2 linked regions of the Arabidopsis thaliana genome follow. The protein of the gene in region 2 interacts with the protein of the main gene of each other region in a pairwise test. Each region holds a gene or a part of one and is shown on either strand. Other genes may lie near its edges.

The links.
Region 1: the proteins of AT1G32580 (region 2) and AT1G06510 interact in a two-hybrid assay, tested with the Arabidopsis thaliana proteins (one large-scale study listed by BioGRID).

The regions. Positions count from the first base shown.
Region 1 is NC_003070.9:1,990,323-1,994,661, reverse strand, and holds AT1G06510 (forkhead-associated domain protein), read right to left. Parts: upstream 2,434-4,339; 5' UTR 2,274-2,433; coding exon 2,117-2,273; intron 1,956-2,116; coding exon 1,756-1,955; intron 1,639-1,755; coding exon 1,202-1,638; intron 1,119-1,201; coding exon 1,079-1,118; 3' UTR 821-1,078; downstream 1-820. Other genes in the region: GPAT1 (glycerol-3-phosphate acyltransferase 1), read left to right, coding at 1-492; AT1G06515 (transmembrane protein, putative (DUF3317)), read left to right, coding at 2,694-2,778, 3,147-3,219, 3,699-3,711; AT1G06500 (uncharacterized protein), read right to left, coding at 4,076-4,339.
Region 2 is NC_003070.9:11,781,334-11,786,231, forward strand, and holds AT1G32580 (plastid developmental protein DAG), read left to right. Parts: upstream 1-2,209; 5' UTR 2,210-2,774; coding exon 2,775-3,154; intron 3,155-3,244; coding exon 3,245-3,342; intron 3,343-3,424; coding exon 3,425-3,490; intron 3,491-3,951; coding exon 3,952-4,097; 3' UTR 4,098-4,371; downstream 4,372-4,898. Other genes in the region: AT1G32575 (uncharacterized protein), read left to right, coding at 217-300. UniProt on the Arabidopsis thaliana protein: Involved in organellar RNA editing. Required for the processing of few RNA editing sites in mitochondria.

The sequences.
Region 1 (4,339 bases), 9.8 Mb from region 2:
GTTACTTACAGCCTAAGCAAGTTCTCCGAGTTCATAGCACCTCTCAAGACGGTTAGCCTTAAAAGAGATAGGAAGAAAGACGGTGAGGCAATGCAGAGACTATTAAGCAAAGGAGATCTAGTGGTTTGTCCGGAGGGAACCACATGTAGAGAGCCTTATCTACTAAGGTTCAGTCCTTTGTTCGCTGAGTTAACTGAAGACATTGTTCCCGTGGCTGTAGATGCTCGAGTGAGCATGTTCTATGGGACAACTGCGAGCGGGCTCAAGTGTTTAGACCCTATCTTCTTCCTCATGAACCCTAGGCCGGTTTATTGTCTTGAGATTTTAAAGAAGTTGCCAAAAGAGATGACTTGTGCAGGAGGCAAGTCAAGCTTTGAAGTTGCGAATTTCATACAGGGAGAACTTGCTAGGGTTTTGGGATTTGAATGCACTAATCTCACAAGGAGGGATAAGTACTTGGTTCTTGCTGGAAATGAAGGCATTGTCAGATAAACTATTCCGAATTTTCATTAGTTTTTTTGTTTGTTTGAAAAGCTAAATATTATTGTTATTTCAGGACTTAGATGTTTAATTCTATATGGTTGATTCATTGGCATCATTTCTATTTCTTATCACTCGGGACCATTGATATGTATTGAAAATGTTTGCTTTATATGATTTTGTTTCTGGATTTGTATAGTCCATAATCTCAACCTGTCGCTTTAGTGCCATTAATTTTATTCCTAGAACAAATGAAATGATTTCAGAGTTAGTTGAAATCAATATTAATTGTATACATCTAATCTAATAGTATGTTATTCACTTATTATTTACTTAATGATGCTCCTAAGTATTGATATCACATTAATAATCATGATCCCATATCACAACAACATTAACGTGAACGACCATATTAACTTCATATCACATCAAAATTTAATGTATCACCTTAGAAGATATTAATATTCACACCAAGAAAATGACTATACCTGTCTAAACAGAATGATTAAAGAAAGGAAAATTGCTAGATTAACTTTTCATACCAAGAGTGGCTTCCTTTCTTTAGTTCACTGCGCTGGTAAGTAATGCTTGAAGCACACTAACTGATGTTTGCCTCTTTGCAAATGATATTTGCGATTCTACACAAGCAAAACAAAACTTAATGGACTGAGTAATTCTGCAGTGTTAGAAGTAAAACTTAGTGATGCTTTGAATGCATTACCTTTCCCTCACACGACGAATCTCTTCAAGAATTTCTGCAGTCTGCTGAACCTTAAGATTCTTGGGTTTATCTTCATGATTAAGCACCAAGGATGCAACATTTACAACAGTAACTAGTTCAGCTTCGATTCTGCTAAGTTTCTGGTCTAAATTTTCCAAGAAAGATTCATAAGAAGACACTTCTTTCAGGATGCTACCTATTGAAACATCTTCTAGTACATTATTATTGGTATCAAGAAGTTCTTGGTAATCCTCAACATTCCTTTCAATAAGTTGAATTCCCTCAGAATCCAAGTGAGTGTGGTCATTTTCGACCCCGTCTTCAGTAGATTCGGGCTTTGGCGATACAATGTGGATACCACCTGAAGTATTCTCTCCATCCTCTTCGAGATCCAAAGATATATTGCCTATCAGCTGTGTTTCCTTGACAGATATTGCCTGAAACCAAACCAAGCTTTCAAGACATAGTTAGATAGATTTCTGGGGCAATTGAAAACAAACAAACAACCAAAACAATAACATTTCTTAACAAGTAAGAGTATTGTTTGTTTGTACCTCGTTAAGTTTGGAAGAAAGCGTATCGAGCAACTCGATACGAGCTTTAGCCTTGTCCAAAGCTTGCATAACTTTTTTCTTCTGAAGAAGTAGATCTCTGGCATCATTCTCTTTCCCTGTTCGAACATTGACAGCTGCTTGTTCCCGTAGATTCTCTGCAGCCTCAGATAATCTCAAAAGTCTCAACCTATTACTGTTTGCTGGACCAACAACAACAAAGACCAAAAATAAATCAAATTGACATCATCAATCACTGGATTCACAAGCAGTAAAACCATGCTGAAACCAGCACCTCATCTTTCCAAAGTCTACGACTTTGAAATCACACATTAAAACGAAGATTAGCGAATAAAGATTCCACCTTTGGCACGAGTGGACTCTGCCTCCGCGTGAAGCCGATCAAGCTGGGAGCGAAGAAGGTCAGAATTTGCGGTGGCAGAGAAGCATCTCAGGCTCGTTGGAATCCTCCGAGACTGAGCAATCACCACCGGAACTCCGCCGATGGTCGTCGTCACCATGTTTGGTCTTCTTACAAAGCGCACACGTTCTGTGACATTGCAGTCTCCGTTATCCGGTTAGTTCTACAAACCGATTTTGAATACCTGGTTCATCTAAACCGGTAATTAAGACTAAACCGGGGTGGGAAAATGAATTGAGGATGAGATTAGTATTTACCGTGACAGAGTTTTCCAACTTTGACGTCTCCGTCAAAATTTGATTTCTCTTCTGTATTTGACGACGACACTTCAATCAAAATCTGGAGTCAGATACAGTTCCCTAGATCGAGAATCTCCAGGCGCTTTGTAATCCTGTTTAGTATATCTTTGTCAAGTTCTCTGTCAGAGATTTACCGGGTAAATTTTGAATCTTGGATCAGGTTTTTGTCAATTTCAGATTTGTAATCTCCCGCTTCTTACTGTAGGAATCGATCAGAAGATATGAACTGGGTTCAACGCAAAATCTACCTTTATAATGTCACATTCGGGCTCTACATGCTTGATTGGTGGGAACGATACCTCTTCAGTATCCTTTTTTCCTCACTCTATCCCTCCATGCTTCATTCGTTCTCTCCATCGATTTTGGTTTATCTGTGCTCCAATTTCGATTTACCCTTTCATTAGAAAGATGCAAGTTTTGATTTTTACATCTTTGGTGATATATGGTGGCATTGTGTTCTGTTCTCTTGTGTTGTCGTCTTAAGCATTGTGTCTGTTCAATTTTAGAATTTTGTTTTTAAAAAGCTACTTTCTTAAAATTTTGTCTTCAACTTCAGAGTTTGGATTATAGTCTCTACTGAATAATATACTGTCAATTGAGATAATTTTTTGCTAGTTTACAAGGACTTAAGATCTTTGCTTGCATCTTCTTTGCCTTTCCTCAACTCTTTTCAGATTCTTTGGTGGTTGTTTTGATGTGGTTCGTTTTATACAACGGTACTCGCTACTTTTCGGAGCTTTTCCAGAGGTAAAACACTTGATGATGCTCTTTGCGCACACCTTAAGCTTGTTAAGGTTTCCTTGACACTAATTTTGCTATTGTTGTAACAATTTTTGGTACTTATCTAGTTCTTTTTGCTACTTTGGTCTTATGGTTTCATTAGCGGGTTTCTAAGTGATGAGTGTTATGATACAATATGCTGTTTGGCCTCATCTTCATCTCTGAAACAAGTTTCACGGTTTCCCATGATTCGTAGTATATGTTTTCACAAAAGGATAAGTCCATCATTTACTTAAACATTATCCTACCTTCTCTTGTGCATTTAGTTAGGGTAGATATTAAGCCTCCCCAGAAGGTGATTGGATTGGAGTTAGAGAAGTCTTTAGTTTGCCTGATGGACTTACTGCTGCTGCTTGCTATCTGAATCTTATTATGCTGATTGTTCGAAACTTTTGAGAAGCAATTGAAGCTCTTTCATGATAATTTCTTGTATCCTCGCATTGCAGGCATTTGACATGAAAACATGTCTTGTTTCTCGCACAGTAGAGCACGAAAAGCCTAGATCATCCAAAGGCATGTACGTTTGGTTCCAATTTCTGAGACGTATACCAGCAAAAATCCCTCTTTCGGCGTCACCTCTGTTTTTGTTAATTTTCCTCCAAAGGCTCTAGGACAGTTCTTATGTCTCTATATTATTTGTTCCCATGTTTTTGCAATTAACAGAAATGATTTTGTAGACTCGTAAGATCGCAAGTCTTCCTGTTGTATTTCCAGTTCACTTAGAGACATAATAACATAGTTGCAGGAGTTAATGAACTTGCGGATTACATATAACAGAGCATAATTTTTAAGAGGGAGCTCTGTTCTAAATCTACAAACGAACTTAGGAAGAATCAGGGGTAACCCAATCCTTTGGCATTGCAGAGTTGAAGATCTGAAACAGCAAAGCTTGATCTCTCTTGCCTGGTCTTTTTGAACCAAATCCTTGATGCAGACCAAGTTCAACCGCTTCTCTTCCTTCTTCCGCTATTCTTTTCCTAATAGCTACCAAAGAATTTTGCGTCTCATCACAAGCTGCTACATGTCCATTTTCAGTGTTCTCTCCTCCACCATCTTCTCGTCCGCCTTTCTCTGCCCTTCCCCACCA
Region 2 (4,898 bases):
CTTCCATGATTTGTTTACTTACACAATTAGAGTAATAAGTGATGAAAATTTGTGTTGAACTCGGAAAATTACAACTACTTGCAACCTAAGAGTTGACAACCAATCCTTCTAAAACTTCCACAAATGAATAATGTTAGATTCCATCGCTTCTCTCGCAAATCCATTCGCCTCTAAAACAATTCTGGAAGAACTCAACTTCTCCTCTATATTCTTCAGCTCTTGGTTGTAGTTTTCAAAATAAATGGTGGCACACCATTTACGAGAATCAAAACAATGCGCTCCAAATTCCTGATCCCGTAAGCGAAATGATAGGTAGACACGTTGATCAGCTGAGTGGATTTCCCATCATACCGACAGACTCCATTCTTAGGTTTGATATATGTTTCAAACACGTATAAACATCATAACATTAATCAATATTTTTTTCACTTGTGTTGGATTCTTTCTTTCTTTGTTCCCTGTATACTTCAATATTATCTTAAGAGTAACATAGAATATATGTCATCAGATAGTAGGAAGATTGCTTCAGCCACTAAAAGCGAGAGCTCAACCCCTAGTCCTTCAGCCTCATCTTTCTGCTTCTCATTGGTGAGATCAGTCTCTTTAGTGTAAGGAATATTATTGACTGACCTAAAAGGTAAAGAGAATATCTAGATTGTAGTAATCTCTTATTGTTACGGATAACACCGTGAGCCATTGACATTGATTTCATCTTTTTTGAGATGGTCGAGATGTCTGAAGGATTCATCGAATATGGCTCTAGATGCAGTTTTTTTTTGGGGGAGATTTCAAATCTATGAATCAACATATAACGAAACAAAAATCAGATTAAATATATCACAAAACGTTCGATTCAATCGGGCAAGTGAGAGAAGACGAACCCTAGATTAATAGAAAGAAAATAAACGATGCAGTCACCTTGTTGTTGTAGTGTTCTCTGAAAACTTAATCTTAGACGAATAATATCTATTTGTATATAGGAAAAAGGCTTTAATGCTTTGTGGATTAAAAGGATATATATAGAGGAAAGTAAGGAAATAAATATTTATGAGGAAATTTGGTAGAAGATAAGTTTTTATCTTAACTAATGATATTATTTTATATATTTTAAAAACAAACCCCCGCGGGAGTTATAGATTGCTTTAATACTAACATTAGTAATGCAAAAATACTATACTACTAGGATTTAACCTGTGGTATACCACGGGGCAAATATTTTATTTATATATAGTAATCTTAAATTTTACGGTTTTAAATTTAGTATTAAAATTATATAATTTTATATTAATATTGTAAAAAAAAATTAGTGATGATAGAATAATAAATAAAGATTTAACCCGTGTTATATCAATGCAAACCCGTCCCACTATATAACTCGTCTCATAATATTTTAATATCTTTTTATAAGGATAAATATTAATAATGTTTTATAAAGTTAAAATATATCAATAATAATATACCATTAATGCTAATAGATCCCCTTAAAAAAGAATATTAGTGTGTAGTACATTTTAGATTTGAAAAGATTTAAATGATTGTTGTGATATATTTATTTTAATTCTAAATTTTAGTAACAAAATTGATTTATATTTAGATTTGAGAAGAAATTTGTTAAAATATTAAATGCTAATGGCATTGGATGGTAAATAAATCCCAACTTGAGGATTTATTTCATAAAAGTGCTGCAAAAATGTATATGTAGATAAATCTATTTTAACATAATTTTTCTTTTATTTATATATTTAGTATTATTAATTTTATTTAAAAAAATTAAAACATAAGACAAATATGATGTGTTATTTTCCCTTACTTGTATTTTATTGTTCAAATTTTTTCTATTAATAAAGCTATTTAAAAATATTTTGACTAATTATTAGAAATAAAACTGCCAAAATATGTACATGTTTAGCATATCTATTAGTAAAAAAGTTTTTCTATTAATCAAACAATTATAGAGAAATATAATTTGACTAAAAATCCGGGTTGACACTTCCCATTTATACCCTTGATCTGAGTTTTTTGTGATAATTTCATAGATTTGTTGGTTCTGGGAAATAACTTCTAAAAAGTTGTATGTGTCATATGCTGCAAAAATCTAATCGTGAATGGTGAATTCTAAACAAAGACGTAAAATTTTAAGGAAAACATAAATCTTACCGTGAAACTTTGAGTCAGTCGAGATACCATATATATTAGAAAAATAAAAGACATATATAAAGAGAATTGTGGTTGTTAATGAGAGACACATTTCTCTTAACTCAAATCCATCTATTTCATACTAATGCCAAAATTCCAAACATCTAATCCAACTTCTCTCTCTGATCAATCTCCAAATCTTCATATGCAAATCCCCTAATCGAATGTCTTACTCACAATTGTATGTTCACCTCTCCATTATTGATTTTTTTTATTTAACATATATAGAGATTTGTTGTAATTGCACTCGAACCAAAACAATAAAACATTTGTTATTTCAAAACCCTTTTCCAAGACGAAAAAGAAAACCCATTTCCATAGCTAACCTAGTGTGAATTTTGTTTTCTCAGATTTAACCTCCTCAAACGGTGAAATGGTAGGATTAATTTATCAAAAACTTACCTATACGGGTTTTATTTCACTTATGATAAAACGATTCGGCCCATTAACCCATTTTGTTTTTCTGCTAACCCATTGGCCCATTTAGAATTAAAGAATCATCTGATTTAGTCATTTCGATGGTTTTCACTTAAACCCTAGTCTAGTCATTTCTCAGACTCTGACCTCACTGATCTCCAATGGCGAAAACCCTAGCTCGCTCCACAGCGTCACGCATCACCAAGCGCTTAATCTCCACCTCCGGAGCCACCACTCCTTCCCCTTCTTATATCCTCTCCCGTCGATCAACCCCGGTGTTCTCCCATGCCGTCGGATTCATCTCTTCCTTGAATCGTTTCACAACGATTCGAACTCGAATGGATAGGTCCGGTGGATCGTACTCTCCTCTAAAATCCGGTTCGAATTTCAGCGACCGAGCACCCACTGAGATGGCGCCGTTGTTTCCTGGCTGCGATTATGAGCATTGGTTGATTGTAATGGACAAACCTGGAGGCGAAAACGCTACTAAGCAGCAAATGATTGATTGTTATGTTCAAACCCTAGCTAAAATTATCGGCAGGTTAGGGTTTCTTTCAATTTCGTTGATTCATTAGTTAGAAGAAGCATTTAGTTATTGTAATTAATAATCTCTTGTTGTTTGTTTAATCAGTGAGGAAGAAGCTAAGAAGAAGATTTATAATGTATCGTGTGAAAGGTATTTTGGATTTGGTTGTGAGATTGATGAAGAGACATCAAACAAACTTGAAGGTATGTCTTGTTGTTGTTGTTGTTGTTGTTGTAATGTTGGCGATGTAATGGATGGTTGTTGATTATTGTGTGTGTGTTTCAGGACTTCCTGGTGTTCTCTTCATTTTACCAGACTCTTATGTTGATCAAGAGAACAAAGATTACGGAGGTGAGTTTTATGTTAATACTGTTGTTAGTGATTGCTTTAACACAGTCTATGTTTCGTAGTTCTCTGTGTGTTCTGTTTTGTGTCATAATCGATCAAGACTAAGCTTAGAACTAGAATTTTCATATATCTACTCTCAATTAAGCACAAAATCTCAGGCGTTGTTAATGTTAAGACTGTGGAGTGTGGAAGTAGAATCCGTTTCCTGCACTCAACTAGACATAAGACTCTTCTGTGTCACTTTTGTGTGTTCCATGAGTTGTTCCCTGTAGAGAAGCCAAAACATTTTGATTCCAGCCTTAAGTGTCATCTTTGACACCGATCTTTAGTCTGTTTGTTTGATAGAGAAGCTGTTTGTTTGATAGCTGAAGCTCGAGGGTCAAATCTTTAAACTAGCGTCTCTGTTTTGGTTTACTTGTTAAGTTCACTGCGTAATCAAACTCTTCTTCTAACGTATTGTGCAGCTGAGCTGTTTGTGAATGGAGAAATAGTTCAACGTCCTCCAGAGAGACAGAGAAAGATCATTGAGTTAACGACCCAGAGAACCAATGATAAACCAAAGTACCACGACAAGACCAGATATGTCCGAAGAAGAGAGAACATGCGTTGAATCCAAATCTGATATCAGACCATACAGAAGTTGTTGTTCAATGTTCATGTGTCTGCAAGCAACAGATGTTTTCTGTTTTGAGGTCTCTCTCTCCTTATGTAATGGCTTTGTAGTTTGGATTTTAGAACTTGGAATTGGCTAAAACTATTATCATTGCATATACATAATTTGGCCTTTGAACTATGGTTTTCTCGAATTATGAAAATAAAACCAAATCATTGAATTGGTGAGGCCCATTGGTGAGTATATTTAGGTAACACCGGTTATTTCCAATTATTTGACTAAACCGGGTTGAGAAGTTTAAACCGTGACTTAACCGGTTTCGTTACCTAGACTATAAATAACTCTCTTCTCCTCCACTCAACAAATTCTATTAGGGCACGCCGTACAGAGTTTACTCACTAAACAGAGGATTTTGATTCCAATCCGAATCAGCTTGAAGCAAAAATCGATCCATGGCGATTCTTTGGTGTCAACAACAAAAGGGTAAATTCTTTAACTGTTCTGAGGATTGTTTATGAGAGTATTATAAGTCACTACATTTGGTAAGCAAAGTGTTGTTTCTCAAACGAAGTGACTTATGATAATCTCATGAATGGATTTTGCAACTCTTAAAGAGAGCATAGTTCTTGTGGTGCGGCTTCTTGATATTAGGATCTAGAGCATTTTGGTAGATGGTTAATGTGATTATGGTAAGGTAGAGAAAACATTAGTTGATATGCAGCAGCTAAAGCGTGAAATGGATTCTTGGTTTTTAGTATATTATCATCTTTTTGTGTGTTTGTAATGCAGGAATTCTCA